Drosophila melanogaster: one gene and its partners. The protein of the gene in region 4 interacts with the protein of the main gene of each other region in a pairwise test. Each region holds a gene or a part of one and is shown on either strand. Other genes may lie near its edges. The genes, in order: CTCF, eIF4E7, CG12620 and CG16812.

What was found.
Region 1: the proteins of CG16812 (region 4) and CTCF interact in a two-hybrid assay, tested with the Drosophila melanogaster proteins (one large-scale study listed by BioGRID).
Region 2: the proteins of CG16812 (region 4) and eIF4E7 interact in a two-hybrid assay, tested with the Drosophila melanogaster proteins (one large-scale study listed by BioGRID).
Region 3: the proteins of CG16812 (region 4) and CG12620 interact in a two-hybrid assay, tested with the Drosophila melanogaster proteins (one large-scale study listed by BioGRID).

The regions. Positions count from the first base shown.
Region 1 is NT_037436.4:7,351,404-7,359,560, forward strand, and holds CTCF (CTCF), read right to left. Parts: upstream 5,311-8,157; 5' UTR 5,178-5,310; exon of another isoform or gene 5,057-5,177; 5' UTR 5,055-5,056; coding exon 4,664-5,054; exon of another isoform or gene 4,603-4,663; coding exon 2,639-4,602; intron 2,577-2,638; coding exon 2,475-2,576; 3' UTR 2,175-2,474; downstream 1-2,174. Other genes in the region: qm (quemao), read left to right, coding at 1-10, 64-324, 392-494, 568-695, 832-990; pst (pastrel), read right to left, coding at 6,135-6,972, 7,043-7,212, 7,288-7,377, 7,448-7,986, 8,065-8,157.
Region 2 is NC_004354.4:1,156,424-1,165,392, forward strand, and holds eIF4E7 (eukaryotic translation initiation factor 4E7), read right to left. Parts: upstream 5,967-8,969; 5' UTR 5,863-5,966; intron 3,710-5,862; 5' UTR 3,683-3,709; coding exon 2,393-3,682; 3' UTR 2,176-2,392; downstream 1-2,175.
Region 3 is NT_033779.5:17,085,182-17,091,643, reverse strand, and holds CG12620 (uncharacterized protein), read right to left. Parts: upstream 4,004-6,462; 5' UTR 3,920-4,003; coding exon 3,056-3,919; 3' UTR 2,458-3,055; downstream 1-2,457.
Region 4 is NT_033779.5:13,219,171-13,226,525, reverse strand, and holds CG16812 (uncharacterized protein), read right to left. Parts: upstream 3,940-7,355; 5' UTR 3,798-3,939; coding exon 3,779-3,797; intron 3,655-3,778; coding exon 3,238-3,654; intron 3,182-3,237; coding exon 2,594-3,181; intron 2,536-2,593; coding exon 2,192-2,535; 3' UTR 1,981-2,191; downstream 1-1,980. Other genes in the region: CG15480 (uncharacterized protein), read left to right, coding at 1,320-1,820; Ski6, read left to right, coding at 4,305-5,045; mRF1 (mitochondrial translation release factor 1), read right to left, coding at 5,261-6,439; CG9426 (uncharacterized protein), read left to right, coding at 7,034-7,355.

The DNA of each region.
Region 1 (8,157 bases), on a different chromosome or scaffold from region 4:
TCATCCGGAGGTACGCAAATCCACCTCTACTATGAAGCTCAAAGTAATCCGCGTTTCTTGCAGGCTACCAAGGTGTACACCGAACAATTGCTGGAGCTGCACCGTGGACAGGGCATGGAGATCTATTGGCGCGACAGCTTCACGTGTCCATCCGAGTCGGATTACAAGCTGATGACTGTGCGCAAAACTGGCGGCCTCTTTATGCTGGCCATTCGCCTTATGCAGCTGTTCAGCTCCAACAAGGAGGACTATTCGAAGTTGACGGCTATATTGGGCCTGTACTTTCAGATACGCGACGACTATTGCAATCTGAGTCTGAAAGAGGTGAGTGTATAGATTGGTTGGCAATATGCATAAGTCATTGTTAATCTGTGATAACATTCCGATGTAGTACACGGAGAACAAGAGCTTCGCCGAGGACTTGACGGAGGGCAAGTTCGGCTTCCCGGTAATCCATGCGGTTCGCACCCAAAAGCAGGATAAACAGGTTCTACGTAAGTCCAACGTCTTGACCTCAACCAAAGGCTTTTCACTCATTAAGCTGATGGCTTATGGTTATATCCACAGACATATTACGCCAGCGCACGCACGACATTGAGGTCAAGAAGTACTGCATCACCTTGTTGGAAAAGCTGGGCAGCTTTCAGTATACACGCAAGGTTCTGGAGTCGCTCGACGCAGAGGCTCGGTCGGAGGTTAGTACTTGAAGACAAGCAATGGGAAGTGGAAGTTGCTTGGAAGTCTTGATGATGTTAAAAGTAGAAATTCGCACACATCCCATCGTTGCTACGTGTTTTGTGCTAAACTAAAGTAATCTCTCAACCCACACAGGTGGCTCGTTTGGGTAGCAATCCGTACATGGACCGCCTGCTCAACAAGCTGCTGTCGTGGAAGACGAGCGATAGCGCCAGCATCACGCAGTCGAACCAGATCAATCACAACAACGTCTCACGCAGCAGCCCCAACCAGAACACGCTCAATTGCAATTAGCAGCCAAAGAGGCAAAAGAGGGAGCAGTCGTGAATTGCGAACGGCAGAGCCTCTTTTGCCGCCAATCCGGGACAGCAGCAGGCCAGCAGCCAGCCGACGCCTGCGTGCCTCAGTGCGCCCCTGTTGCGTTTCCTGCAGAAGCTGAAGATATTCTGAGATTTATGTTACCCTTTGCCAAACCGAAAAGCCCACAGAGAACCCCTACCTTACTGTCAACCGAAACCAGAGCGATGAGAACGGAAATAGGAGGAGGATAGGATTTGGATTTGATAGTGAATCGGATGAAATGGGATGGATAACAAAACCAACAGCAGCCTTACAGAAAATTGTTAAGCCAAAAGTAAATTGATATAAGCCAAGCTTATCGTTGAGCTAGCAAAGAGCCATATTACAGCTTTCCAAGAATTTGTTTTTTTACTTTTACATTTTACTTTATACTTTTAATTTAGTTTTGCTTCAAAGTTACGTAGTTAGTTAGCTCGTTTAGTTTCCCCAGTTTTAGTTTCGCCCAACGAATGGGAGAGGGGGGGGGGGGTGGGGATCAAGCAAATCTCGCAGAGCATTACTGAATTATAGAATATGCAATTTTTTAGCTCTTGTATTTCTAAGTGTGTTTCGTATTCGTAACTCAATTCTGCAAGCAATTTTCAATTTCTAAGTGTCATTTTATCAAATCTAACTCACTCGGAACTCAATGTGCACTTCCTTTATCGACGTTGTTCCATTTTAATTGTTATACAAATGCGATTCGTATACATACATACATATGTACTATTAACGACAAATTGTTAATGTTTTATGCAGACACTATAAAATCAACACAAATGAACGCAACTATATATATTGAAATAATGATAATGATGCACTGCACGGCAGGTTTTTGCACATTGCACCACCTAAAAAATATATACATATATTATATATAAAAATATATATATTTTTATTGTAGTTATACACATGAAAGAAACAAAAAGAAATAAACGGCAAGAGAAACCGGAAAAATAACAAGAAAATTAACCAGATTGCTGAAGTGGAAATGGAAAACTATAAACTATGCGAACATTTTACGGTAGAAACGACAACTAATAGCCGAGAATTTACAGTGCACGCCCAGATGCAGCTAAACGCAAACGCACCTAACATTTTGCCCATATACTATATACTACTAATGAAAACATTGAAATATATGTAAATGTATTTAAATAAATATTTATGCCAAGTTGTCAACTAAAGTTTAAGTGTCGGGGATCATTTACAAATAGTCGCCATATCGGCATGTTAACTGCTTATCCAGAATTATACATTCATTTAGAAAGAATACATTTTTAATATCCATTTCTTAACCTAGTAAAAATAGGTTTCCTAACTGTTTTAAATGTGTATTTAAATAGAAAACAATGTAACGTAGAAATACGTTATTGTATGCTTGGTATGTACATAAGTTAGTCATAATTACTTATCCATTAGCTTTTGTTTTCAGGAGACTAAGAGTCCTGCTCAATCATATCCATCAGCTGCAGAAACTCCTGGGAAGCGCCATCGACCTCGTTTTCCCCATCGCCATACTCCTCATAATCATCGTCGTCCTGCATGAAAACCAAATTTTTGAGTAATGGAACAAATGCCAGCTAAAGTTTTTGCAACTAACCTCGAAACCAAAGCAGTTTTTGGCACTGATCTTGGAGTTGGCGCTCGGTTCGTGCTTGACCAACACCTCCTCGTCGCCATTAACCAGCTCTACGACCATTACCTCGCCATCATCCCCTTGCCATTCCACGGTGAAGTCCGAGTTGTCCGGCTCCTCCTTGATGTGGAACGTCTTGGTGCCCCGTTGACTTCGGAGGCGTTGATTGATGATCATCGGCTGCTTTTCGGAGGCGGCAAGCCTGGCCTGTTTGTTGATAATGATAGGTGCTGGCTTGATTCTCTGACGGATCGGATCACTGACTATGGTTTCCACATCATCATCGGCGTCTTCAGCCTCCGAGTTCTCCGGCTCGATTTCAGCCAAGTCATAGCTCTCTGGGTTGTCATCCTCTTCGTTTTCCTCCTGGTCCCGGTCCATATCCACATACTGATCCTTGATCAACGTGATGACAGTGCCATCTTTCTGCAGCCGCACATTGCGGCCCAATTTAAGGCGACGCCGCTTTTCGCGAGCATTCGCCGAATCATCGTGAGTCTCCATGTGTCTCATTAGATTACCCTTGTGGGTAAACTCCCGCGGACAACTCGGACACTTGTGCAGTTTCTCGCGCGGTTCTGGTGGCTGATACTCTTCGTTGTGCACGAGATTCATATGGCGGCGCAGCAATTGACGCTGCCGGAAGGCCTGCGGGCACTGATCGCAATGGAACGGCTTTTCGTCCAGGTGGATGAGCATGTGTGAGGCCAAATGGCGTTGGGTGACCGAAGCGTAGCTGCACAGCTTGCAGCTGTAACACTTTTCGCCCTCGTGTGACTTAACGTGCAGCTTGTATTGATAGCGATCGGGCAGCTGCTGGCCACAGCGCCGGCATGTCATTGGCACATCAGAGGTGTGCATGTGTTTAATGTGAACGCGCAGGTCAGCCTTCCGACCGCAAGTCGTCGGGCAGTAGTTGCACTGAAAGACGGGCTTGTCGACCACGCTGTGGATGAGCTTGTGGGCCTTTAGTGAGTTAGATTGCGTAAATCGCGACTTGCAGATGTCGCATTGGTACTTCTTCTCGCCGGTGTGGATAACCATGTGTCGCTTCAGCTTGAACATGTCCTGCGATGCGTAGGTGCAGTGCGGACATTGATATGGTCTCTCGCCCGTATGGCAGGTCATGTGGCGGCGCAGTTTGGTCAGTTCCACGCTGGCGTATGTGCACTCCGTGCACTTGTGCGGTTTTTCCTTAGTGTGCTTGTAGCGAGTGTGACGGACCAGCTCGCCGCTGGTGGTGAAGGCGCTTTCGCAGAGCTTGCACTTGTGCGGCTTATTGCCCATGTGCGTGTTTATGTGGTTTTGCAGGCCCACGTTCGATCGAAAGGACCTCTCGCAGATGGAGCACTTGAAGGATGGCTCGACGTCATGACTTCGTGAGTGGCGCGTGATCAGAAACTTCTTGCTCGCCGTATACGGGCAGTGTGGGCATGAGTACTTATGTCCCGATGCATTCGAATTCTGGCTGGTAGAAGAAGCTGTCTTCAGCTTCACCTCCTTGTTGCTTAGCACAAAGTCTACGTCCTTCTTGTCGGCATTCTCATCCTCTGTCGTCGCATTGTCCTCAAATTCGTAGACCTCAGCCTCGTTTGGCGTCAGCGTAGCTGTTGCTGCCTCTACGGCAGCTTCGTCTACGGTATAGTCCGACAATTCTGTCACCATTGAACTGATGTCGGGCTCATCTACCAGCTCCTCGAGCTCCCGCTCCAAGTCCATGGGTTCAGGCTTCGGTATGACAGGGTTCTTTCTAGGCCTGCCCCTGGGTGCCGGTACTTTGACCACTAATGCCGGTGGCGGTGGCATCGCCGATTGCTTCGCCTTGGCTGCAGCTGCTCGGGCTGGTCGAACGCTAATTGCCTTGGGTTCTGGGGGAGGCTTCGAAGTAGTCGCTTTCGGTGTCGATTTGGCTGGCCGCAAATTGATGGCTTAAAAAGAGTCGAGCAAGTGATACAAATGCACGCACATATATGGCAAAGGGTAACTCACATTTATTGGTGGCTGTACTGACCACGGAACGTGTAGCTTTCCCCGGCTTGGCAGCCGCCTGTTTGAGCTTCTTTTGTAGCTCCTTTTGCTTCTTGGGCGTAGTCTTGATATAGCAGTTGCCCTCGTCATCTATGAAATACTTATCCTCGTCGTCCTCCTCCTCCTCCTCCGCTTCCTCCGCATGATCCAAATCAGCCTCCGCCTCCTCCATCGGTTTCGATCCACCAGCCTCCGCACCATTTTCATCCAAGTCGATGGCCTCGGCGCTGATGGCCTCCAAAATCGTGTTTACCACCTTCTCATCGCTGTTGCCTTCGATCTCCTTATGGAAATTGTTGAGGAAGGTCTGCAGATCCTCGGGGTCCTCGTCCTTTTTTGTCCTCCTTGGCATTCCTATGGACAAATTGGATTTGTTTTGGTGGCGACCCACAGCGGATGACCGGGATCCCGAAGAGGGCGCTTATCGATTTCTCGCAACGACCAATTGTAATCCCGCTTGATTCAATTCACCTACCGACACTTGGTTGCCAATAAAAAATATGTTGAAAGGGACGCCGGTTGTCGTTATTGTTGTTAAATCTACAATTTAATTTGCGTCCACATGAAACAGCTGCCCATTTCTAATAAAAGATGGCGACATGTAGCATCAGTACCGCCAGCTATCGATAGTTCGATTGGTTTCGTATCTTGTCATCTCTATATAAACTATCTTTAATTCTTGATAACAGAAAATATATAATAACGAATCCACGGTAATTTATTAGATAAAAAATATAATCTGTATTCTTTTGGATACTGGATAAGCCAAGGATTTGGGCTGCGTAAGCGGTTTTGATGTCGCGAAAGCCCCTGCGGATGTTTATGTCTGTTGGATTGGGTGCCCTCTTGAGTGGATGGATCGCTCATGGGTACTGATCAGCCGAGAACTTGAGCTGCGTTAGCGGTTTTGACCCTTTGGTGGGAATAACGGATTCGGCAGCAGATGTTAATGGTTACATTAGGGCAGGCTGGATTTGTTATTGTCACCAGAATTGGGGTTGTTCTTATGGGATACTTGAATTTATGACTTATATTCTAAGGCATTCAATGATTTGGTGGTATGGCTGTTGCTATTATACCATAGTATAGATGACATCAGATTGTAAATTTAGGAATTACTCTTAAAGATTAAAAAAAATCCCCTTTACACAATGAATGATTCACATATTCTGTGTTCGAAAACCGGAAATCAGAACCATTCCGGTTCAAAATTCTCCTTTTATTACAATTATTTCAACAGGGTTAATAAAATCTTTATTTAAATGCTAAAACAATTTCATCTTTGTCAATTTGTGCTCATATTAAGTAAGTTATCCCATTGATTATTTGCGGAACTAGCTAACGTTTCTTTGTGGTTAAACAATTGGGCATCAATTATGACATGCTGATGGCCCTTGAATTCTAATGTTAAACGAACCATTTCGTTAAACACTTACAAGGGACAAACGCTGAAGTGGCCGATACATTTCGGACACTTCTGAAGGAGACCCGGGAACGCATTTGGATTCAGGGACATGAAGTACACCCTTACGGCTTCTACGATCTCACAAGTGTGATCCGCAATAACCGAAAGTTGCACGTCCTCGAAGTTCCGTAAAATGTACAACAAAATGCGGTAAAGAACGGATTCCGTTGATATAAAGAACTTTAGCACCGAGGTGAGGTCTTCCAGCATGGTGTCCATGAAGGCTCTGGTCAATAGCATTATATGGTCAAAGACTTTTGGATCAAGCTTATTGGCCATGATGTTGATTAGGCTCTCAAAACTTTCAGCATTGATCACGTGCTCAAATATGATTTTTCCGTATTTCTCCAGTACGAAAACAACACCGCCCACCAACACAGAGCTTAGCTCCAAGGCGAACACGCCGGCGGCATAGGTACTGGGTTCCTGTCGAGGATGGGATGTGGGCAGCGGTCCGATTAGACGGGAAACCTGATTAACGCCGCCCAGTTGAAGGCGACCAGAACCCGCATGGCTACCGGGAATGGGCTGACTAACTTTGCCTAGGACATTCCCTCCTTGGTTATGTTGTACACTAGCTCGCAATTCCGCACCCGTCGTCTGCACATCGCCATTTAGTAAAAATCCTTTGCCATCGGGTGCGAATGAGTATCGCACGCCCTCCTGATTCAAGTTTTTGTTGATCTTAAAAAGATCATTAAACTCTTGTGGCGAAATTTCGTTTACGTTGCGTATAATGTCCAGTTTGCCGCGAGTGTTGCCTTGCATCCGAACGGTCTCCTTGGCAGCCTTGTCAAAGGTTCGCCTGATGGTAAAAAAAATACAAGTAGAAACTCTTGTTTACGACAGAATGTATCTCATTGAACGTTTTTTACCGCTGCCTATTAGAAAGGTTTTTACGATAGTCGGCAATATTAGCATTGCTTGTCTCATTAATTATGGTCGAAGCCAATTTAAAGTTGTAGACGCTGTGCGTGAGCAGCACCAACGAAGCGGACAATTGCAAAACATCCATCGCAACTATTTCGTCACCGTCTTTTGCTTTCTGTGGAAGATCATAAATTTCATAAGTTTAATCTATCTAGCCTAATCTAATCACAGTCTAAGTTTCGAGACTTGCCAATATCAGATCCAGCACACCATTGGCAACTCCAGTGCCCGATACCACAATCGAGGATATGTTCATGCTATTCACAGTCAGTTGGGTGATCTATGTGAGTACATATTTAACATTTTTATTCCATTGTTGATTGCGTGGGGGGGGGGGTTTAAGGACTCACCGCTCCCACCTCGCGTCCAGCATTTGTGGCCGTTGTCAAGACTGTGGTGGCCCCAGCCGCTGCCAATCCCACAGTGCCACCAGCCACGCCCAACCAGTGACCACGCGCTTCGCGGTCCGTCACATTGATAGACTGCTCATGTTGGCTGCGATCGAATAGCTTGCTGCCAGACCGCGATGCGGCGTATCCAGCACTGGCCAAACCTACTACTCCCGCTGCGCCCATCAGCGGAGCGGATACGGGCAGCGTTAGCAGGGCAGCAATGGGCACACAGGCAGCAAAAAATCCTCCGACTGCCGACCCAGTATCCAGGTAGCCCAGCACCTTCCTGTTGGTCGTGCCCGCCGGCGTTGTGTACTTATCCAGACGTACTTGATCCCTGACCAAGCGGTAAATACCCTTCTCTGGGGCCACCATCACTCCGGCAGGCAACTCGTTGGTGGTCACATACATCTCCCAGTTTTGGTAGACCCGACCAAGCTCGTCGATAAACAGATTGCAGCAATTCGAGCTGACGCTGCTGGTGCCACTACTGCCAACTGAGTATTAAATGGATCCATTGATAGATAGATAGGAAATATATTGTAAATTGCATACGTATGCAAAGGATGACTCACCGACGCATCGACGGGCCCGAAAGACTGGGTGCACGCTGAAGACTCTGGCGTCCTCGGCGCGATTGACGTCCGTTTCGTCAGTTACCACCATTA
Region 2 (8,969 bases), on a different chromosome or scaffold from region 4:
TTGAACTACATATGTGTAGTCATTAAAATGTTGACATTAAATATTGTATCTATAGAATCGTCATTGATGGATTAATATGCATTATTCATACACCTAGCTAAAGTCAAGTTGCTTTTCTTTCTGTGTACTTGTCCTGGGGCCTCGTTCGAGTATTTCCATATGACATGTTCGTCTCTCGTCCGGATCCGGAACATAAATGTTCTGTCCTGTCTTGGGTAGGGGGCAGGGTGGAAAGGGGGGACGTGGGCGGAGTGCCTTTATAGATTATGGATTGTTTATTGGGCCAAGTGTCAGAATTGAGGCACCCATTTGTCCATAGCTGATGTGAGTCCTTGCCACAATGAGTGGTTTTCTTTTTTTTGCTATATCTCTGTGCTTAGGATACGGGCTCTTTAAGCTGAGTGATTAGTTCAGCTGGCAAAATCGATTGGGCTATTTCAATGGTTTCGCTTGGGAAATCAGTTATAAGTTATTTAATAACTTAACTACGCCCCATTTGTTTTTGCAAAAAAAAGAAACCGATTTGCTTTAACAGCTTAACCTAAAGAGCGTTAGTTTAAGCGCTGGAAACAAAAAAACCTCTTAGCAATCCCCCTTTGTATCTCCTAAATTCCCCTTCGCCAATGCGTGTGATAACCAAAATCAAGCCGCAGCCGACTATTTTGCATACGCAAATAAAAGTAAATAAATTGAAATTCGCCAGTGCCTTGGTGTGCCTCTTCTTCCACTTCCACTTACCTGTGTGTACATGTGCGTATATGCATATATGTATGTACATATTTTCCCCTGTGCATACAGCACACGCATGTAAATCGACGTTTTACAACACAAATGCCACCTGTGGGGCGGCCTTTTTTGAGCCCCATAGTTTGGGGTAGTTGGCAGCCTAAAGGAACATTTTCGTTTCTATCTTATTTTTGGGGCCGATTGGAGGAGGAACTCGTCCGCTGCACATAGGTGAGCGCAACGTTCGAAATTCAACTAGTATAGGCAAAGCTCTCATTTGACTACTGATATTTGAGATACATGCTACCAGTGAAGCCGATTTTGGTTCTAGTTTTGCGCGAGAATACATAGAATACTTAAATTTTAGAGCAATCCCAAGTCGGTGTGCGAGTGCCAGACACTTCAAATTTTTTTATTTATAGGACAGAAGAGAAAGGACTTTTTGGCAATTGTTCTGGGTGAAGTGGGCGGCTTGGTTTCGGCTCCTGTTCAGCATACATATATGTTACAGATTTTCCGTTTCGGTTTATTGCCAATACCATTGTTAAACATCGGACTAGTCCGTAAGCCCCCTTACCCACCATCCCCCACCGTTTGGGATCGCAAACCAAATCGATACAATGGCTTCTCGCTTTCGCTTTCCTCGGTTTTCCATCTCTAATAAGTGGGTGCCCAACTACAACGGTTGGTGGCCATAGAAAATCGTTAAGGTGTTTAATCAATGGCTCTGGCTCGTTGGCACAATGGAATGAAATTAAGTGCCATAAATCAATGGCGAAATATAGGTGAGCTCGCTTTTATGGTGCGCACTTGGGCCAAATCACCTGGGCCTTGACCTTTTTCGTGGAGTCACCAGAATATTTGGTAAATAGTAAATCCTCGCAAGAGTGGCTAAAAAAAGCTCAGGAAGAAATTAGAAGGTAGGAAAATGGTCACAGCAAGGCACAGAAAATACATTAAGCACATTAAAGCCCGTCAAATGGAAAAGTGGCCAAGAACAGCAACAAAAGGAATTCAGTGCCAGGAGAACGCACCTGCCTCCACTCCAACATCATTGGCTCCCCTTACGTGGTCACCCAAAGCAGTCACAATAAAATGCCAACTGCCAATAAATGCCAATAAATCAAACAATTGAGCACGGCCAAGTTGTGTGACGCCGTGCGCCAAATAAGTCCAACGGCCAATGTCCAATGTCCAAATGTCCCATGTCCGCTGACCGATGTGAAAGCGAACAAAAAGCTAGCAACCAACTTCTGAATGCCCGCCCCAATGGTTAGCAGTGGAGCAGACAAAGAACATCCAATACACCGATTGGAACTCAGGAATCGAGACAAACCATGTTGCATGTTCTTGGAATCGGGTTAAATTAGTAAAGAAGGTGCATAGTTAGAAACATTTCGCAGTCTCTCTCCAACACTCTCCAATTTCACACTTTAAAACAAACAACTTCTTGACCAAATAGTTATGTATTTATTTCGTCGCTCTATAGGAGCAACATTCAAATTTTTATGTACAACGTGTACGTGTACGGATGGTTTGACTAGAGATTTGGAACCCAACTAACTATCGATCGATGGCTGATCACACCTGCTTGACATTTCAAGTTCTTGTGAAAAAATACCGAAAATACTGAAAATGTTTCGATTCGCAATTGTCTGATGAGAACCTATACAGTGTATATTCTCTTCACAGTTGATCCCAGTTTATCCTTGGAGTCCTTGTGCAACTGATACTCCAGCACGTATATGTTGTCCATGCGTAGAACCTTGCGTAAAATGCGTCCAATTTCAAGGACTGTAGTCTGATTTCCCCCGTCAGCGTTCCAAATAGAGATCTTGTTCGACTTTCCGCGAATATTGACCACAACGCCACAAAGATCGTCCGAGTGCTTACAGGCCTCTCCAATCAGACAGAGCATGGCGTCCATCCAGAAACTGTCCAGAGCCATCTTGGCGCTCTTGGTCAAGTTGATGACCCAGCGTCCTCCATTGACATTGGCCTCATCCTCCCACATGGGTCGAATGCCCTTCTTGAACAGGGAGTAGTCACTGCCCAGCATAAGCTCGGATGGGGGCTTGATGTGAGTGATCAGGCTCCAAAACTTCTCCACGGTATCGAAGCTTGTAACCTTGTGCAGCATTTCTTCCCAACTTTTATTTCGATCGTTCTCTAGATACCACAGAGTCCAGCAGTTGTTGAGTGGATGTTGAGGATCCTCGACCTCCAAAAGTTCGGCGTTCTCCGCCGCGATGGTCAGATCATCATCACATTTATTGTTCAGTGACAGAAATTCTAGTGAATTGTCAAAAGCGACCACCGCATCTTCTTTTTTGGCCGGTGGACATGTGTTCTGTTTAATCCTGGGCTCGAGCCTCAAGCTCAAAAGCTTCTGCTCGGATAACCGCATTAGGACCTTCTGCCCTAAAAGATTTTCTTGTGTGATTATCTTTCCCTGCATATTCTTTTCGATTAGCTTCTTGTCCTGCAGATCCTTGTCGAGCACATTCTTCCTATATTGTGCACTAGTCGACTGCTCCTGTTCAGGGCTATTTTCTTTCTGCTGGACCATCTGTTTTCCTTGGCCTTTACCCTTCTCATTGTCATCATTTCCCGTCGACTTTCCATCTTTGCCCGGATTGTTGCTTCGACTGCTCTTGCTCGTCTGACTGGGAGTGCGTGGCGCATTCTTTTGATTCTTCTTGCCCTTCCGGTTCCCCTTGCCACGTTTTTGGGGCTCTGATGGCGACGTTTTGTTTGGATCATTCATCGGTTCTTGGGTCTTTTCTGGTTGAGTATCTTCAGTGGATTGAGGAGCTGCAGCAGGCTGGGTAACATCAGTTGGTGACTCCACTTTTTGGGGACCTTGTGTGGGATATTCATTGTTGTTCGCACAGCTTTTAAACATTGTTCTCGGATTGGCAAAGTCCCTCATCCTGTAAAAGCTGTTGGGAAGCATGGCGGCTTTGTTCGAGGTCAGCAACGGCTGTAGAGTTATACGGAAATGGCGAGGTTAGCGCTATGTTTAAACAAACAAATCTAACAAAAAAAAGGGTTAATATAATGGCGATTTTTGGGATCTTTCATTTTCGTAGCTTCCTATACAATTATATATATGATGAATCCACAAAGCCAAGCCAAACGCTCTTTCTGAACTTCCGACTAATGAGGCAAACAAGCCAACATGCCCCTTTTCTCTAAGACGTGAGCTGGAAATTTCTTCTTTGGAAGCACGAAAGGAAAAACTGACCAAGACCAAGGGACGTGTGCAGAAGTTGGCAACTTTAGCAACAAATATTTACACACCCCCCGAACTGAATGATTTGAGTGGGTGCAAAACCCCAAACACACGGGTGTAAGGTAACACAGCACGCATTTCTTATTAGCTGGGTCAAGTTGTGCTTGCCCCTTGGAAATAACCGAGTAAAAGCGTTTTTCACACGCCAAAATCTCCGATAGAAAAGATTACGATGCCTTGGTATTTACGCATCTTTTAAAATCATTAAAAATTCTCTACATTTACGATATGCAGCGGACGAAGGAATCTTTATGTAATGGCATCACAAAAGTAAACCACCAGGAGAACAAACTTTGATTTGACTCTGGCTGCCATAAGTTAAAATGGGGTCAAAAGGACTCGAATTTATGAGTGAGAAAAAATCAATCAGAAATTGGAATCAGAAACAGAATCCAAGGCGTGGCAAATGTTTGAGCGGACTTGGACTTTGAGCGAGTGTTGTGCTTTCACGCTTTTGGCAAGCAGTTTATGGCCATTTTATTTGACCCGATTTTGTTTTAATGGAATATCTGTGCCTTAACCATGGACTTCATATGTACATTTGTATCACTTGGCATGGGCTAAGAACTGTACAGATATGGGAATCTCCTTTCACTTCTGCCATACAAATTAGGGAAACAACAAAGGCAACACATTGCAGGAGGTTTTCCTTCTTAAAAGCCGTTTAGGGATCTCATACCCGACATTTCCAAATGTTCCTCTTTTAACTTAAATGACATCAAAATGAAAAGCAGGGCCAAAACAGAAACAGAAACTACAAGACGTGCGGGTGCACTTAGCGAAAGTATTACAGAGATCAACTAAATTTTATCGCGACAGTAGTTTAGATTATAGCATGTAATGAACTGCTTTTGAATCTTTATGTCACTGTACTTTGGCGATCTAGATTCATTTCAATGAATAATTTACTTATGGGAGTAGTCGAAAGCCACAATAGAAGGCACCTTGGATTTCTCTCAGTTCCCGCAAAGCAGTTTCGCCCTTCTCAGTTCCTATCGATGCAATTTTTTATTTGGCCCGATGCGATGTAAATATTGCATTAGACGGGGCCAAAGTGTTGGGCAAATTTATTGGCAGCACATAAATCGAGGACTCGCCCTCAACGGGTCGGTTGTCGTCTGTTGAAAAAGTAAATGTTCTAAAGGTAAATATGCACACAGCGAGGAAGTGGCACTCATTCAGTTGAACGTTGGAAGTGGGAAGGAAGTTGAAGGAAGGTGGACTACTCTACATTGGCATCTGTGCTCGCCTTCTGTGACCTATGACCTGTGAGCCATCGTCGCTGGCTGAAATGCCGAAATGTTGAAATGTTCAAATGCCGGCTGCTGACTGCTAGCTGCCTCGAAAAACTGATGAAAATGCAAAAATGTTGTTCCCAGTCCTTGCCTTTCCCCTCGGCTGCTATGCCAATTTTAATTAACAAAAAACATGAGCAGCTCCCTGTTGCGTTGTGTGTGTTTTGTTTAGCTCTGTTTTGTTTTGTTTTGTTTAGTTTAGTTCAGCTCTGTTCTGTTTTGTTTTGTTTGGCTAGTTTGAACTTTGTTCCTCGTATTCTTGTATGCCGGTTGCACTAGACGGGTGATGGGGTTAAGCAGGGGTAGCTCCATCCCCACTACCGTCAATCCGCTCAATTGCTCTAGCCCAACTTTTTGCATACTTTCGGGGATTCCCAGTAATCGGCGGCAGCCAATGAAATCTAAGCTGACCGACAGACAAGACATACTACATACGACAAGGAACACACTACCTTATTTGTAAACGAAGATGACGAAGGAGGAGAAACCCAACGAACAGTTCTAATGCCATAATTAATCACTACGAATTGGGTCTACACAACTTACCTAACGCACTGCGAATATCCGAATACCGCTTAGGTCAATCAAAATATATCAACAAATAAATCGCAATGGTTTTGTAAATAAAATTTGACTAAAACCCGGTTGTTCTCACAACGAAGTGTCGTCCAAAACTGATTTATATTTCTAGACTTACTTTGCTCTGAAAAATGACTTTTGGTAACAAAAGTCCGGTCCCACTTCGGTACTATTCTGCATTTTTTCCCATCACTGGGATCGGATTCGCGAGTATATGGCCTAATCCGAACTCCACTAAGCGCTCCTGGATTACAGCTAAAGCATTTAATTAAAAAATTGCATTGCTTTTGTTTTTGCGCGCTGCCATAATTTGCATGCCAACAACACTATGGCCTGCCTGTTTGCTCATATCATTAATTCGCAATTTGGCCAAATAATAATGAATATTTTCATCTTGTGTCGCTTTTTGCCCTGTTCAGTTCAGTTCAGTTAGCTCTGAGCGTGTTTTTGTTCACATTTGTATATTTGTTCATGTCCGTTCAGACATTCGCATTCAAATGTTTTGCGTTTTGTGTTCTTGTGCAATGCAATTAATTAGAAGTGGATAAATGGTGCATGAGTGTGCGCAAATTAAATTAAATTCTATGTGCATTTTTGCATTTTGCCAGCGAATGAATCGCTCTGAAAAAGTCATTTGGAGTTGAAATGCAAACACGGCATTCTGAAATCATCAAGCATTATGAGAATGCATAAACTGAAATTGAACCATAAACGCATGCCCCCCGCAAGCGGATTGCGGGTATTATCATTATGAAATGCTAAATCGTGTAAAATATTTAAAGAGTCGTTAGCAGTTGCATTACGCAAAAAAGCAACACATCAAATACAAACATCCCAATGCATCAAAAAGGCAATCAGAGGGCGGTTGTGGCGTCGGTGAGTCCACCTCCAACCCGACCAACAGTTCGTGGCCGACTGAAGCAAACGACAAGGATTTCCCAGGACCTGCTCGATCGAGCAACAGAGGGACAGGCAACTTAACAGACAACCGTGGAAACTTAACAGCTGTTGTAGGCAACTCATAGACGGAATCATGAAGAATATTGTGCCAAAATACAGCATTTTCTTTTATTGCTTGCCCAAATAATCACATGATAAACCCACAAAGAAGCCAGATATCAGTAATTTAAATAACTTTGGCACAGCTTAAAAGCCATAAATACATGCATACAGCGTTACACGCACTTGCACTTGCGGTGCATATAATAAGCCTCAGTTTTTGGAAAATCCCTCGCCTTCACACATACCACGAACTTGGGATCTGTGGATGGGACTATTGCCATCAATAGCCTGGCAGAGGGCTATCAATGAAAATCAATGTTCATCATATCGGGGCCGCACTTCACTGAAGGCAATCGTCTGTTTTTTCTGGCCAGGAGCTCTTTCAGCGGAAACGAATGCATTTCCTCGCGGATCCATTCCAATCGCTGCTCCCAAGAAGGCACTAAAATGGTAGGTGGGCTCCTTAAATGTACATTCTGATATTGACACACTTTTAATACACTCTGACCCCAGCGAAAGCTTTTCCTAATTGGAAGTTTTTCTTACTTTGCCTCCGATCTACGAGTAGTTCATCAAATATATCCACATTCGACCGCCTCTGAAGCCGGGCAGCACCATCGTAGCTGTCCAAAAGGAGTCCCAAAAGGAGGAGTAACTTGATGAAAATTATCACGAACAAAACGCGGAACAGGCGTGTGTAGCTAGCCGACATATCGAATTTTGAATGATTCGGAACATACCGTCAAAAGCCAGAGTCACCGCGGCCTCGACATCTGTTCAAAACTGGTGGCGAAATGTTTTCTTTATCCGTCGACTTGGAGCTGTGACCTTATCGATGGAAACTTGTAAAGTCGTACTGGAAAAACACTAAAGCCCCAAACTGTGTTCTGTGTTCAGATAAACAAAAACACTAAAGAAGTTTGCTAATTATTGAGCTAAGGGACACATTCAACCTAAGCTGAAAAAATTACAAGTAGAAATTCACTATTTCTACGTATACCCAAGTTTAATAGGTAGAGCAACACATCGACCAGGAAATGCGTCCAAAAACAGGCGACAGGACCGGAAACCAAAAACGAAATGCAGACAGCAACTAAAACTCAAGCAGACACCAAAACCAGCCAAGCGGAATCAGGCGCAAGTTTTAAGAATAACAAACAAGAATAGGGCGACTCACGTGTGGCTTCGTTGCAAGGATCCGCAGAAAGTTGGCACAAGGTGTGCAATAGACACCGGGAACCCCAGCCCAGTCCCATGCCAAAACCCAAATACGAGTACAAGTAAGCGGCAAAATACTGAGTGCACACGAAAACGCACCTGGGCGCAAATGAATGATGATGATGTTGCCACAACAGCCGCAGGCAGAAGCAGCAGTAGCAGTTTCTTTCACAAGGTTCTCAACAGTGTCAAAAGATGCCATCGCCGTGGATTAATATTGTGTGGATCAACTGTTTTACTTGGTTTAAGTCATTTTTGTTCGAAGTAAGCCCAGTGAACTGAACTTAAATGTTAAAATTGAAGCTATTTACTTTAATGCGCCGTTCTCTGCGCTTCTCAAAAATCCAACTGTATGCACATCGCAACGCTTTAAAAATTTGCTTACCTCTAAGCGCCGTTCTCGCGTGCCTCATATACAAGCATTGCACCGCATCAGTAATTTAATGACTTTTAAGCGCCGTTCTCTGCGCTTCTCAAAAATCCAAGTGTATGCACATTGTAACTCTTTAAAGATTTAATTACTTTTAAGCGCCATTCACTGGGCTTCTCAAAGTCCAAGCATTGGACCACATTAATAGTTGAATTACCTTTAAGCGCCGTTCTCTGCGCTTCTCAAAAATCCAACTGTATGCACATCGCAACGCTTTAAAAATTTAGTTACCTTTAAGCGCCATTCACTGCGCTTCTCAAAGTCCAAGCATTGGACCACATTAGAAGTTGAATTACCTTTAAGCGCCGTTCTCTGCGCTTCTCAAAAATCCAAGTGTATGCACATTGTAACTCTTTAAAGATTTAATTACTTTTAAGCGCCATTCACTGTGCTTCTCAAAGTCCAAGCATTGGACCACATTAGA
Region 3 (6,462 bases), 3.9 Mb from region 4:
CCGGAGCAGCTGCACAAAAAGACGCACAAGGAACAATGACACGACAGAAATATGCCAAGTAGCCGACCCCCCAGCCCCCGCATCAACGAAAATGACAGCGGAAAAACAGGGGGTGGGTCGGGCGGAAAAGCTGGGAGACATATGATGCATATCGCAAATGTCGTTTGCTGTCAGTTTCCGGTTGTTGCAGCAGCCATTTTGTTTATGCATGAACACGAATGCGACTGCGACTGCGACTGCCACTGCCACTGCAACTGCCACTGCAGCAAAAAGAAGGCCGACGAGAGCTGGTGGAAAGCCGTGGGTGTGGAGTCGAAAAAGTGCAAAAGGAAAACCAGGTGGGCGGACTGTACGAGTTCAAGTGTAAACTAATTTCGCGCTTTGCACTTGGTTAGCCCGACATTGAGTTATGATTTTCGGTTTTCTTTTGGGGTCAACACTCATGGCACGTGATGCCTGGCTTTAAGCCATATTTTATGGATACCGTCCGCTCCGTTCCATAGCCACGTTTTGACAGCTTCACGCTCGATGGCAGTTGGTCAAAAGGGTAAACTGTCCCATGAGTGCTTACAAATAAGGTCAATCAATCACTCAATCAATCAAGGTGGCATTTGGGGGATTTGGTCTACCGCTTATGATATCATTACATATAAATTTAATAAAAAACTAAAAAAAATGGAAGTCGTAAATTCAAATAAATGTGTTACAAAGCCGCAAAAATACTTAATATTAATTAGGCATTTAATTGAATTACTAAGCAGTTCTATCTAGAGCAACAAAGCAACATGAAGCCACTTCAAATGCAAAACAGTCATGGGAACTCATTCCATCCTTGATTACCGATCACCTATCGCTAGAAACTTCGATTGCCATCGACGAATGCCGATTGCAGTTGGCTCCCCTCGACGCACATTAAGTCTAAAGCACTCCAAATGCCGCCGATTGCGGTGAACAATTGCTTTGTATCCTTGCTACACGAGGCATGTACATGCAAGGACTCTAGCAGGGACACACTTGAACGGGTTGACATAAGTCACGATGACTGGCCACAATGTTTGGATGATGATTAGGACCAGGCACTTGCAGACCACTTCGCTTGATTTGCCGGCATGACGTGTCACTTTGTGGGCCCCATAAAAAATTAACCAAATTGCCATGCTAAAGATTAATTTCAGCACATTGCGATGACCTAAAATACATTTAATTTTAATTTGGTTTGTTTGAGGTGTGCCAAGTTACAGGATTCTCTTCACATCACTTAATAGAGAATTGCTTGCTTCAATTTAAGGTCAATTTAAGGAAAGGTCAGCTGCACTCGCTTTTCAATACTTATTTAGCCTTGTATCCCTTTTAAAAACAAACTTTCGAGAAAAGAAGCGTGTGTGTGGACTAAAAGCAAACGGCAATTAAATGTCATAAAAGTGCTGTAGTATACTAAAGTAGGGATTACAATCTCTTCGACTTGTTTTTTAACTCCAGACGGGCAGCAGCTGGGACTGCATCCACAGCTGAGGGGTTCAAGCAACCGAGAATGTCTAGACATTTCCAGCTTTAGCCTTCATAGACAACAAAGTCTTCATTAGGCGAATGACGATTTTGCTGCAGATCGTATGACGTGATATTTATTTCCATTTCATGGCCGAAAGGAACGCCAAATTGGCCAAAAATCGAGAACGTCTGGGTTGAAATTGTTGAAGATTACTTAAATGAAAACGCTATTAAGTCCGACGAATTTAATTGCTACACCACCAAAGTGATGTGCCACACAAGATACTGCTAGATTTGAAGTTATATATCGGCATTAAATTTGATGTTAAACTTATATTTATATTGCATCTCTTAAAATTTAAGTTAGGTTTAACATGTCCAGAGAAAACAAGATACTGTGGCTCTTCGCCTATCCGATATCGAATATAATTGGAGAGTAATTGACTCGGTTTTCAAAAGTGTAGGCTGTAAATTGTTTTTTAGCTCATGGAGGTAAGAGAGTTACCGACGGACGTGGCAGTTTTTTCAAACAAAACTTGCACAATTCTTATCACTATACATATTTAACGTGTATACAAAAATTAAACAAAACAATGACCGGTATCGAAAGGGAAAACATGACCGACACAAAAAAGAAAACAAAAGAAAGAAATAGTATGTGTAAACTTCCGTAATTAAAATATTTTAAAAGAATCAAAAACATTTACACGCACAGGCTACAAAGCCATGTTGGCTTGCATAAATGAAAAAAATGGGTATGGATAATAAATGAAATATTGTAATGTAAGTTGAGCTCATACAGATCTGAAAACAAACAAAAGAATTGAAATCGGCACTTGCTTGACAATTATTGTGATGAATGAAAATACCATAATTCTTGTTTATGAATTGAACTAACTAAATATTAATTACATATTACAGAAAGTAAACTTAAAACCAATCCATATTATCCCTAAGAGTAATAATTTTATTAAATTAAAAGGCCAATACAAAATGGCTGTATTTTACGGAATTTCATCGCACACAAAGACTTTTGAAATAATTTCAGCACATTGTCCTTCTAGCTCCTTATTGTCTCATCTTCCTAGTATCCACCCACGCAAAAAAAAGCAAGGAGAAGAATGGAACCCGTTAGGCGTCATTATCGTGCACACTTAGTTATCCCTTTGAATGTCCTCCGTCCCTTCATGTGTGCGCTAGTGCGGGTTTTGTCCTTTATGGCCCAAATAATTGTGCGGTCTCCGGGTCGAGAAAACTATATTTTTAAAGCTGCGCTGGGGAAAGAGAGCGTTGATGGAGTCATTTGAGATCAGAGGCGATTACGGTTATTTGGTGTCTACATTAGCTTGTATGCATTTACGAATATGGGTTTATTTGACTTTACGATTAAAATAAAGCCTTATATAACTTCTGGAATATGAAGTAAAAACATTCGCAGCATTTGGGCTATACGGATTGGATTTTGATTTCCAGCCAACGAAACATTTTCTTAATTTAGGCAACACTAATCTAATGCACAATGAGAAATGGGATCCCATATACATCAATTGCATCAATCAATTTAAGTTTATAAATTTCGCGTTTTTTGACCAGTATGTTTTTTCACACTCGAACTTATGTTTTTCTGTATGGCGCTCAAATTCTTTAGGTCAATATTTTCGCCACGGTCAAGGACCCTAGTGTGTTTTTCTTCTTCTGGAGCTGTTTTATCAATGACTTCCGGAGCAGTTGGTGGTAGTACTGTTTCCGGTTCTGGTTCTGGTTCCGGTTCCGGTCGCGGTTCCACTGGCGGTTCCGGTTGCGGTTCCGGTTGCGGTTCTGGTTCCGCGGGAACGTACACTATCGGCGGATCAGGAGTCTGGCTTATAAGCTTATTATAGCAATGATGGGCGGGATGGAATCCGGGCTCGGGATCCTCCTTTGGCAGACTGTCGTCGGAAATCATCGATTGGTCTGTAGCCCGATCGTATTGGAAGTACGGAAGTAAGTCGTCGGAGTCTGTGCCGCAGGGCGGACACTCCTCTTCGGCGATCTCGGAGATATGTTCATCATCCACGCTTAGTTGACTCTCCGATGACTCTGTGAACTCCTCGCGGATCAGACGCCTGGCCAACTCGACCGTTGAGAACTCAGTGTAGTGCAGCTTTCGGCGTCGTACGAAGGATATGCGTCTGGCTCGCTCTTTGATAGTCTCCAGGAATTCGAAATCTTCGGAGTCGTCCGAGCTGCAGGATGGATCATGGGCGAAGAAGTCCGGCGTCGTGAGCTTCACCTCCTTATGCAGTTTTTCCATTAGCTCCTTATGAGACATGACCTTCTCGCCGGTTTCTCTTTTTATTGACGAGGCCGATTCATTTTCCACTTCATAGGGGTCCGAGTGAACGGGTACTCCCAGGTTCATTTTATCGAACCTTGTTCTTTTAGTCGTCATGGTTATAAGACAAAATGTGTTTGTTTTTTTTTTTTAGGTTCTACTTCTTATTTTTGGGATATATAAAATGTTTATACGTTTAAGTTTTATTTCTGCCCAGACTGAACTAGATGTGTTAGCTTTGATGTTTTAATCTATGTTAACTAGCTTAGCCTTATATCGGAAAAAATTCAGTAATTCATTTTAATCATGATCATTAGAAAAATAATATAATACTTCCAATGCAAATGCCTTAATATATTTGACGCTCTCATTTGCGTTTCGTTTTTTTCTTGTAAATTTACCCCACGACTTCGCTTAATCAAACCATATCGTGGACTTCAGTCTGGCTACCATGGCTACTACATTTTTTGATAACGGCCGCGATTTGCCTACGTTCCATAATTTGATGTCACATTTTTCCCACAACGCGGGTTAAGTGTTTAACCTCTGGTGCGAGTGGGCACAAAAAAAAGGGCGATATCTCGACAAAAGAAATTTGTTTGCGAGCCAATTTCGATTGTGTCAAAAGGACGGTTATTTATTGGACCGCAGGCGTCATTGTCTAGCCATCGATGGGAATAAATATGCCTGTGGCGTCTCACAAGGATGCATAAATTGTCAAAACGAGATTTCGACTTGCGATGAATTTAATTGGATTGCAAAAGTTTCTTCGCGTATCGCAAAACCGAAAATTGAGCTGTTGAAACGTGACGTTTCCACCAACTCAAACGGAACCGCAGCCAATATGCATACAATTAAACTGTATTTTCGGCATCTGGTTTTGGGATAAAAGCGCCTTTTATGGACACTCCATTTGACCCACATTCGAAGAAGGAATTCTGCCAAGAATAAAATGTTTATTTAGCATTTTATGCCAAAAGAGAGAGCGCTAAAATTATTTACGCAGCATCAGGCGTGTCATTTGCATGTGCCACGCCCCAGGCCCCCAGTCACAAAAAATTCAAGGCGATGAATCCCACAAAAATACGCTAAAAGTATTTACATTTGACTCGGAAAAATTATACATTTCCGTGCAAATAAAAAGCAAGTCCAAAGCATCTAGTCGGTGGGCGGGCAAAGGGGCGGACAGCATCGGAGGATGCCCGGAAATAAAACCAGAATCCGAACCAGAAAGCAGATTAGAGATCCTTGAGGAAGGCCACACGAACTCGAAATGCTCTAGGTGACGATTTCCCAAAAAAATATAAATTAAATTGGAAAAATTTCTTTAAGAAAAGCAATACATTGATTGACACATTTTATTTCTTAAATACAAGAAACTATATTAATATTCCAAAAAGTATGAAAGCAGATAAGTGGATTCATTTTGATAATGCCGATGAGATTAAATAAGGTATCGAGAATATCGAGGTGTTGCATTCAGTTCGTAATACTCAAGCCGCTCCTTCGATAAAGGACAACGGCAGGCGTGGCAAAAAAGCGCGTTGCAAAGAGGAAAAGCTTCAAATCCGCAAACAAACACTGTGACAGCTACAATGCGGGGAACTGAAAAGTGGGTGGCGCTGGGCAGAAAAACCCAGTCACCCGACCGAATGAAATGTACTCTCTATTGACATTTGATTCCAGCCTCACTTGGCTGGGAAATAAAAAATATATATGTGTATGTCAGGATGTGTACAAGTGCAGAGCGGACGCAGTTAGACCCGTTAAAGGGGTGGGGGGATTTGTAAATGCGGAAAAGGGGCAGCCGGGTTCTTCACTTTGTTGCACAAAGCCTTGCTCAGATTTCGGTGAAGGAAAACTCGTCGCTTTTCACTCTTCGAGGCTGTCGTTTTTCGTTTCATTGTTTGTTTGTTTGTTGGTTTCGTTTCGTTTCGTTTCGCCTCGTGCTGTTCCGTTTTCGCTTTTGTTTGTTCGCCTGTGGATTGTGTTTCCTGTTACAAGGCTTCCAGGATCCCATCTCCCTTACCCATCTCGAATCCCCTGTCCTGTCGCCTTGACGCATAAATTTGCCTTAATTTGTTGCAAAATAATTTCATTCATTTACGTGCTGCCATTTACATGGCCGTCGGTCCACGTTGATAACTTATTTAAGCGCTCTTTTCCCCAGCGAAGGAAAAACAAAATTTGAACAAAATAAATTATCAAACTGTCACATTGACGTATCGCCCAAGTGAGACAATCCGGGCAAACCGAGGAGTCAACGGGGAAAAGTCGGGCCAATCTCCTGGCCATAATCTAGAGCATCATGTTGCTCGTTTAAAGGATGTCAAAGGTTGGCCATATATCAGCAAAAGGCATCAAACGCAGTCGAGTCGAGGCATCGGCTTCAGCCCGTTAACAATTTCATGTAACAAATTCTTCGTGCCCGATGCCGGACACGGATACATGGTCAGGAGTGTTCGCCACTGGAGTGGGTGTAAGAGGAGCACTTGGAGAATTATTTTAAGAATATTTTACTATCCATTTTATGAAGAAACTTAATTAACGACATTATTCATAGTAAAAACATTTAGCAAATATATAAACAAAGTAAAAATGACTAATTATTCCTGCATTTATATAATTTAAGCCAATAAGCTGTGTGAAGAATCCCACAT
Region 4 (7,355 bases):
CAACGATTGTATCAACTTGCGTCCAGGATAACCTTGTATAAATATACCAAGGATTATTCACTTTGAATGGTTTAGAATATTAAATTAAGTCCAAAGATTACTTTTAAGAATTCACTTAAAAAGGGAATAGAAAAGTTAAGGATATATGTATATATTTTTAAATTCGTATAGTTGTAAAATAGTAAAAGCAGTAGTAAACGTATTTACAATAATGAAAATTCGAACTGCATTTAAATGTATTAAAAATTTTAAACAATAAATAAACTGCTTTAAGAAAAACCTATATGTGTGTGTGTTTACATATTTATGTACTTGTATATCATAAAACATTATCTTTACTAATGATATTTAAAGTCGGTTATAACCCTTATAGTATAATGCAGTATAGCAATATTCTATTGTTTATATCACAAGATTTTCACTTTGAAGGTTTAGTTTTGAAAAAGTATAAAATGAAAACCTTATAGTCTGATTTCATATAGCAATATTTTAATTTCTACATTACCAATCTTTCATGATCGCAAACCAACAAAAAATAATGTTTAATTAATGTATAATAATCATATAGTGAGTGACATATTATAAACAAAATTTCTTGCTTTTCCATAAATTATGACTCTACTATTATACAAAAAAGAAAAGAATCCAAGAAATCCCGTGAACAGACTAGGCCAGACGCGCACCCATCGATTCGGGAAAATCCCAATAAATTTCCATTCAATGACCATTGTGACTAAGCAGCGGCTGGCATTTTGCCGAAGGTACATAAAGGTATACCCGGATACCCTGGACGAGAACTTAATGAGGCAGATTAGCGGTAAGCGAGATAAGAATCCAGATTCCGAAGCGTCCAGACAACGTGGCCCAGCATCAAAGAGTGGCAAGCGCAGGCGCTGGCCAGATTTCGAGGTAGAAAACGCTTCTCGAGAAAGTCGGCAGGGAAATTTCCAAGAAAACCCGGACGGACTAGGCAGACACAATAGAAGGTGCGAGCAGCGCGCTGCAGCAAATGAAAAATTAATTACAAAGGACTTTCAGATGAGCAGGTAGTAGTAGTCGGCCAGCAATGGTCACAGGTACTCGTAGTGTATGGATGTATGCCGAAATCCTTTTATTCTCCCTACGACAATGCCAACCTTTTGTCAACGAAGAGTTTCCCATAAACAGGGCGCATGTTCGCTCTTAATGATAGTGTTTTCAGGTAGGACCTCTGATCTCGTTGGTATAAAAACCTGGTTGCGCAGCAGCAGGAGCATAGTCGAGCCTTAACAGCCGTCGTGAAAACAACTCAACAAACAACACAACTTAAAACCCCAATCATGGCACCTTCGAACATGGATTACCACAACGAGTCGGAAGTTGGCGAGAGCTACACCCACAAGAAGTTCAAAACCGCCGGCTATACGCACAAAAAGTTTGGCAAGAAGAGCTCCAAGGATATCGCCCCCAACCCAGCCAATGCCACGCCCCTATTCCGGCCATATGCCCTCAGCGAAAATACACCACGAAAGCGTCGCCAGGAGACGGAGCGAGAGGTTCAGCAGATGCAGGAGCAACCATTGTACCATCACCACTCATTGCCTCCCACACCACCAACCACGCCACCGCAGCACCAGCAACATCCGCTTCCTGCCACCCAAGTTCCGGTAACCCAAATTCCGGTCACCCATTCGCCGGTCTTCAATCACCAGGCATACGCTTACATGCTACAAAAGCAACGTGCCGTGCTCCAGATGCGTCAACTGCTCAACATCAATCCGGATGCCAACACCTGGCCACTGGAATGGCGCCAGGCCCTCCAGGCTCTGCTGCAGCAATGAGCTTGATGCGCACATAAACACATTCGAAACGGAGTGATTTGCTTAGCAACCAGTGATATAGACCTTTAAGTGACCGCGGACAGATTGTACAATATGAACGAATGCGAAATTCTAGCGTAATTGTAGATACATATAATTTTAAACAAAATAAATAGTTTTTCATCATAAAGTTAATCAATTGGTTTTATGTTCTGACAGCTTGCGATGGATACTAATCGGGTATTCAAAACAATCAGGAGTTTAAACTGAAATAATGAGATCAGGATCAAAAATCCTGCCATTTCTCATTCATTTCATACATTTCAAATCAACTTCTATTTTAATTCAAACATGTACTGGCAAATTTAATGAGGCTCACATTTACTTAAACTTTACATAGAGTTATTGAAGCCAAGGCGGTCAAAAACAGAGCCAGATTGATCTCGCTGCCTGCTGTGACCAGCATTCATGCTGTTATGGCGCCTTGGCGGAACATATTTCTTCTGTGGCTCCGGTCGCGGCTGTCGATGTGGCGGAGCTGGTGGAGCTCTAAGGGGAGCGGAGGTCGCGGTTTTTCCAAGCCTCCTGTGGACGGGCACCGTGTCCTGTCGGCTAAACAGCTCGTCGCTGCGCATGCGTATGGTCTTGCCCTTAACAGGACTGAGTCGAGCCTGTGGTTTCCTTGCAGGCGATGCCTTTAGGTTGTATGTCTTCTTCGTGGCATGAAGTTTGGATACTAAAAAAAATGTTATAAATTAATTGACTGTGCCACTTCTGCTCTGAAGCAAACATACCCATTCCGAGCCTTGATTTAATATTATTCGCAAAACTTTTGCCCTGCCTATTTTTGTATGCCGATTCGGGAACGATTTCCCGAACCTCCGCTGTCGAGGCGAACTTAACAATCTTTTCGCCGGCTCCCATATCAAAATCTTCTCCGCTGGACATGTAATCCTCTTCGTCACTTTCGAAATCGTCCATGCTATCATCGTCGTCGTCGCCTTTTTTAAGAGGCACTTTGTGAACTAGCATGACCTTTTGCTGCGTTACAGCGGCCACCTTCTTCGCTTTCACAATGGGCGAGTTCTTGGTGACCCCTCCTCCTCCTCCTCCACCACCAACTGTACGGTGTGTGTTTTTAAGGATCGATTTGATTTCCCTGGTCGAAGTGAACTCCTCCGGAAGAGCGCCCTGCTTGCCACCGAGTCGAGCGAAGACCGAATTATTGCTGGAGGTGGCCGCTGTTTTTGATGCGCCGGCAACGTGCACGCGGACGCTGCTCTCGCCCGAACTGGAGACAATGCCCTCCTGCGCCTCGTCCTCGGCATGCAGGCGCGTAAATATGTCCGACTTTTTGGAGCTGCTCACACGATCGGAGTATACTAAAAGAAGATATATTGAAAATTTGATCTTGTTCTTTAGAAATCTGTAATCTTACATTTTTCCCGCTTGGCTAAGATCTGTTTGCTGCGCTCGGTGGTTCCCGAGGGCAGTGTCACCTTGTACTTGCCCTCGTGCTCCGGAAGCACCCGTCTTGCAGGTTTCGCAGGCGGATAAACCTTTGCTTTTGGAGTTGCAACCGGCGCTTTGGGTTTTGGCGATACCGGTCGGACAACTGATTGAACCACCTCCGTTGTGAGGACCTGTTCCCGGGCATTCTGTTCGCAGACGGTCTTTGAGTGCCGCAGGATGGCGATTATATCGCCCATCAAGGTTATGCCCATTTCCCGGAGATACTCCTTGTTAAGATCCAACAGCATGTCGTCCTGGATGCGGTTCTCCACGAAGACGTGGGCATAGCCGGCAGCCGCAGGAGATGGGATGCCGGCCGCATTGAAGAATTTTACCCAGCGTGCTGTAATTTTCGGTGGTGAGTTCATTATTTTTAAAGTGTGTGATATTTTTTAGGTCTTTATTTTTGTTTCGCACCCGGAAGCGTCTGTTCAGTTTGTTTCGTTTTCACGATGTTATAAACCCACCTGCGCTTGACTTGGACATTTTGCGTATTTCTGGTGCTGGCAAGCACAGATTCTTACACGATTCAGCTACTATTTATTTATTTTATTCCCATAAATTCCGTTTTTTGCACTCGAAACTATTTATATATTTTAGAGTTACCACAAATCCTGAACGATTATCGGTATTCGGTTATCGGATATCGATTAGACCATGTGTTAGTGTTGTTAAATTCCAAAATGTTGTAGTAGGGGTAATCAAAGCAAACACTGTTCAAATTTAAATTTAAAGAATCTTATTAAAATCCTTATTAAATTTCTATATATCGTGATTTAATGTAGTACACTTTGGCAATATATGCTTAATTATTTATTTACTCTTACATACGTACGGTGTACATATTAAAAGAAGTTAGTATAAAAAGGATTTTTTCATGGACTGTCGGTATTTTTAGTACTTCCACACTGTTGTTAAAATTGTAAACAAATCCCGCCGCACGTGTGATATTTAGTTAAAATCAAAATAATTGTATTTCTAAAGTTTCAAAATATGTCTGGTAAATACGATCTGCTCAGTGAGCAGGGCCTCCGTCTGGACGGACGACGTCCTCATGAATTGCGCCGCATCAAGTGCAAACTGGGAGTCTTCGAGCAGCCCGATGGAAGTGCCTACATGGAGCAGGGAAACACCAAGGTTCTGGCTGCCGTCTATGGACCCCACCAGGCCAAGGGCAATCAGACAGAGTCCGTCATCAACTGTCAGTACAGTCAGGCAACCTTCTCCACGGCGGAGCGCAAAAATAGGCCGCGCGGCGATCGCAAATCTCTGGAGTTCAAGTTGTACCTGCAGCAGGCGCTAAGTGCTGCCATTAAATCAGAACTATATCCCCGCTCCCAGATAGACATATACGTGGAGGTGCTCCAAGACGACGGCGCCAACTATGCGGTGGCTCTTAATGCCGCCACACTGGCGCTAATTGATGCGGGAATCTGCCTCAATGAGTTCATTGTCGCCTGCACCGCCTCACTGAGCAAATCGAACATCCCGCTCACAGACATCTCTCAGTTCGAGGAGGTATCCGGCGGACCGAAACTAACCGTGGCTGCCTTGCCTACCGCCGAGAAAATCGCCTTTCTTGAGATGAGTGAGCGGTTCCACATCGATCACTTGGAAACCGTCATCGAGACTGCTATGGCGGGTTGCCGCGAAATAAGGGACATTCTGGAGGCAGCAGTCAAGGAGCACCTTCTGCACATGGGCAGTGCCTCTGACTTTGCGAAAGTTGGTTGAAATAAAGTAATCTTTTCTATTCCAATCTTGTCGTTTTTTACAATTGAAGGGCAACAATTATAATAAAAAGGAACCAACATTTACAAATTAAATAGTGTCTTTAACATTGTATTCAGATGGCTGCCCTTGCTCTCTTTTAATATAATTTCTGTTGCAAAAGCACAATTATCCTCTAAAACACAGGCGTATAAATGTAGTAACAAACGAAAGTAGCTCTAGTTTTTCTCAATAGCTTCTTTTGGTGGCTCCCACCTATCCAAGAGCTCCTTTAGTCGTTCCCTTCGATGTTCCAGTTGCAACTTCTCTATTAGTCCACTCAGTTGGTCGCCGCCCTTGAGGAAACCATTGAGGTTGTGCAGCGTACCGCCTTGAATTCGATGATCCGTTATGCGGTCCTGGACGAAATTGTAGGTACGGATCTTCTCATTGCGATTGAGACTACCCTGTTGCGCCTTCTTGGTGGCCATTTTGCTAGCCTCAACGCTCTCCAACTGCTGTTGCACAAGTCGCGACCGTAGACGCTTCATCGCTAGCTCCCGGTTTTTGAGCTGGGAGCGTTCCGATTGCGCCTCCACCGCCAGACCCGTGGGCAGATGAACAATTCTTACAGCCGAGTCGGTGGTGTTAACATGCTGTCCACCAGCTCCACTCGCTCGCTTCGTCTCGATCTTCAGATCCTTCTCAGCGATGTGCACTTGGATGTCGGCGGGTCGGGGAATCACTGTAATTGAGGCGGTGCTGGTGTGCATGCGTCCAGACTTTTCAGTGGCCGGCACCCGCTGTACGCGGTGAACTCCAGCCTCATAGCGCAGCCAGCGGAAGGCATCCTCGCCGCTCACCATCAGACTAGCGTGCCGCAGACCCCCGATGTCGGTGCCCTCGCTGGCAAACTCCTCCCACTCCCAGCCCATGTGCTCGAAATAGCCGGTGTACATTTCGTACAATTCTTGGGCGAATAGCATTGCCTCCTGGCCACCGGCGCCGGCATTCAGGCCGAAGATCAGAGCCGGATACTCCTCATCGTCAGAGAGCGTAAGCAGCTCCTGCAGTAAGGCCTGATCCTGCTTGCCCAGTAGATCCACATAGACTTCGTTCTCCTCGCGCATTAGCTCACGCATATCCTCGTCCTTCTCCGCTTCCATGTCCTTGGCGCTGGTGATGTGCCGTTCTAGTACGCGTCGCTGCTCCAGGGCACTGACCACGCCCTCCAGCTGGGCGAGACGGGCGTAGGATTTGCTGTTTCCGGCGGCGTTGACTCGCACGGCGTAGTATTCCTGGCGTAGAGACTCCAAATAAGCCTGCAGCTTCTCGTTCTGAATGCTCAGCGGATCCGTGCTGGCCCAACGGCGTGCCAGGTAACCCAGTCGAAGGTTTAGTAGTTTGCGCGATATCATTTTGTCAGCTTTTCATTGAAAATTCATTGAAAATAAAATACAAATAATTAAATAACAACAAGAGGTGGACCAAAGATGATAGCAGCGATTACTATCAATAAGTTCTGGATAAAAACTGAACTTATCGATATTCAGGCATAGTGCAACTTCTATCAACATCGATAGTCGCCCAAAAACATCGACTCCAGTTCCAGCTACATACTAAAGTGCATTGAAAAGTCAAAGAAATATGCCAGTTTGTAAATATTAAAAACACTATTTCATCTTAATGGGGAAATAGCTGTCTTAGTAGCGGACTTCGGTTGTTTTAATTTGTGATATGCTAACCTTTTGCCTGCAGTCGTTTGTATTGCGTGTGTGGGTGTGTGTGCTCGCCTTTTGATTGGAGAAAAATAAACGGACTGCGACAACAACAACAGCAGCAGCAGCAACAACAAAGGGTGAAGTGAGCGCAGAGTGCAGCAATTAAGTTTAATTAAGCCAAACAATTGAATGCGAAGAGTCTGAGCTGTGCTGTCGCCCCCGAAAAGTGCATTTATTAAGGCGATATCGGATTCAAGATCGCCGAAAAGTAAAAACCCAACAGTTGACGAAATGCCACCGTTGAAAACATACCAGATACACGAATACAATGGCAATACCAGTCCGAATGCGAATGCCAATCAGAACGCCAATCAGAATCCCACCGGCGGCGGCGGCGACGGTGACTTCTTTGGCCAAAATCTGGGATCTGGAGCCACAGCGGCCAGCCATCGCACAAACCTGCCCTCCTACTGCAACGCCCAATATCCGTTCAAGGTGCTTTCCAATCTCAACCAACTGCGCGAGCAGTCCCGTTTCTGCGACGTGGAGATCATCGCCGGAATGGCAACATTGAGTGCCCACCGGGCTGTCCTGAGTGCAGCCAGTGCCTACT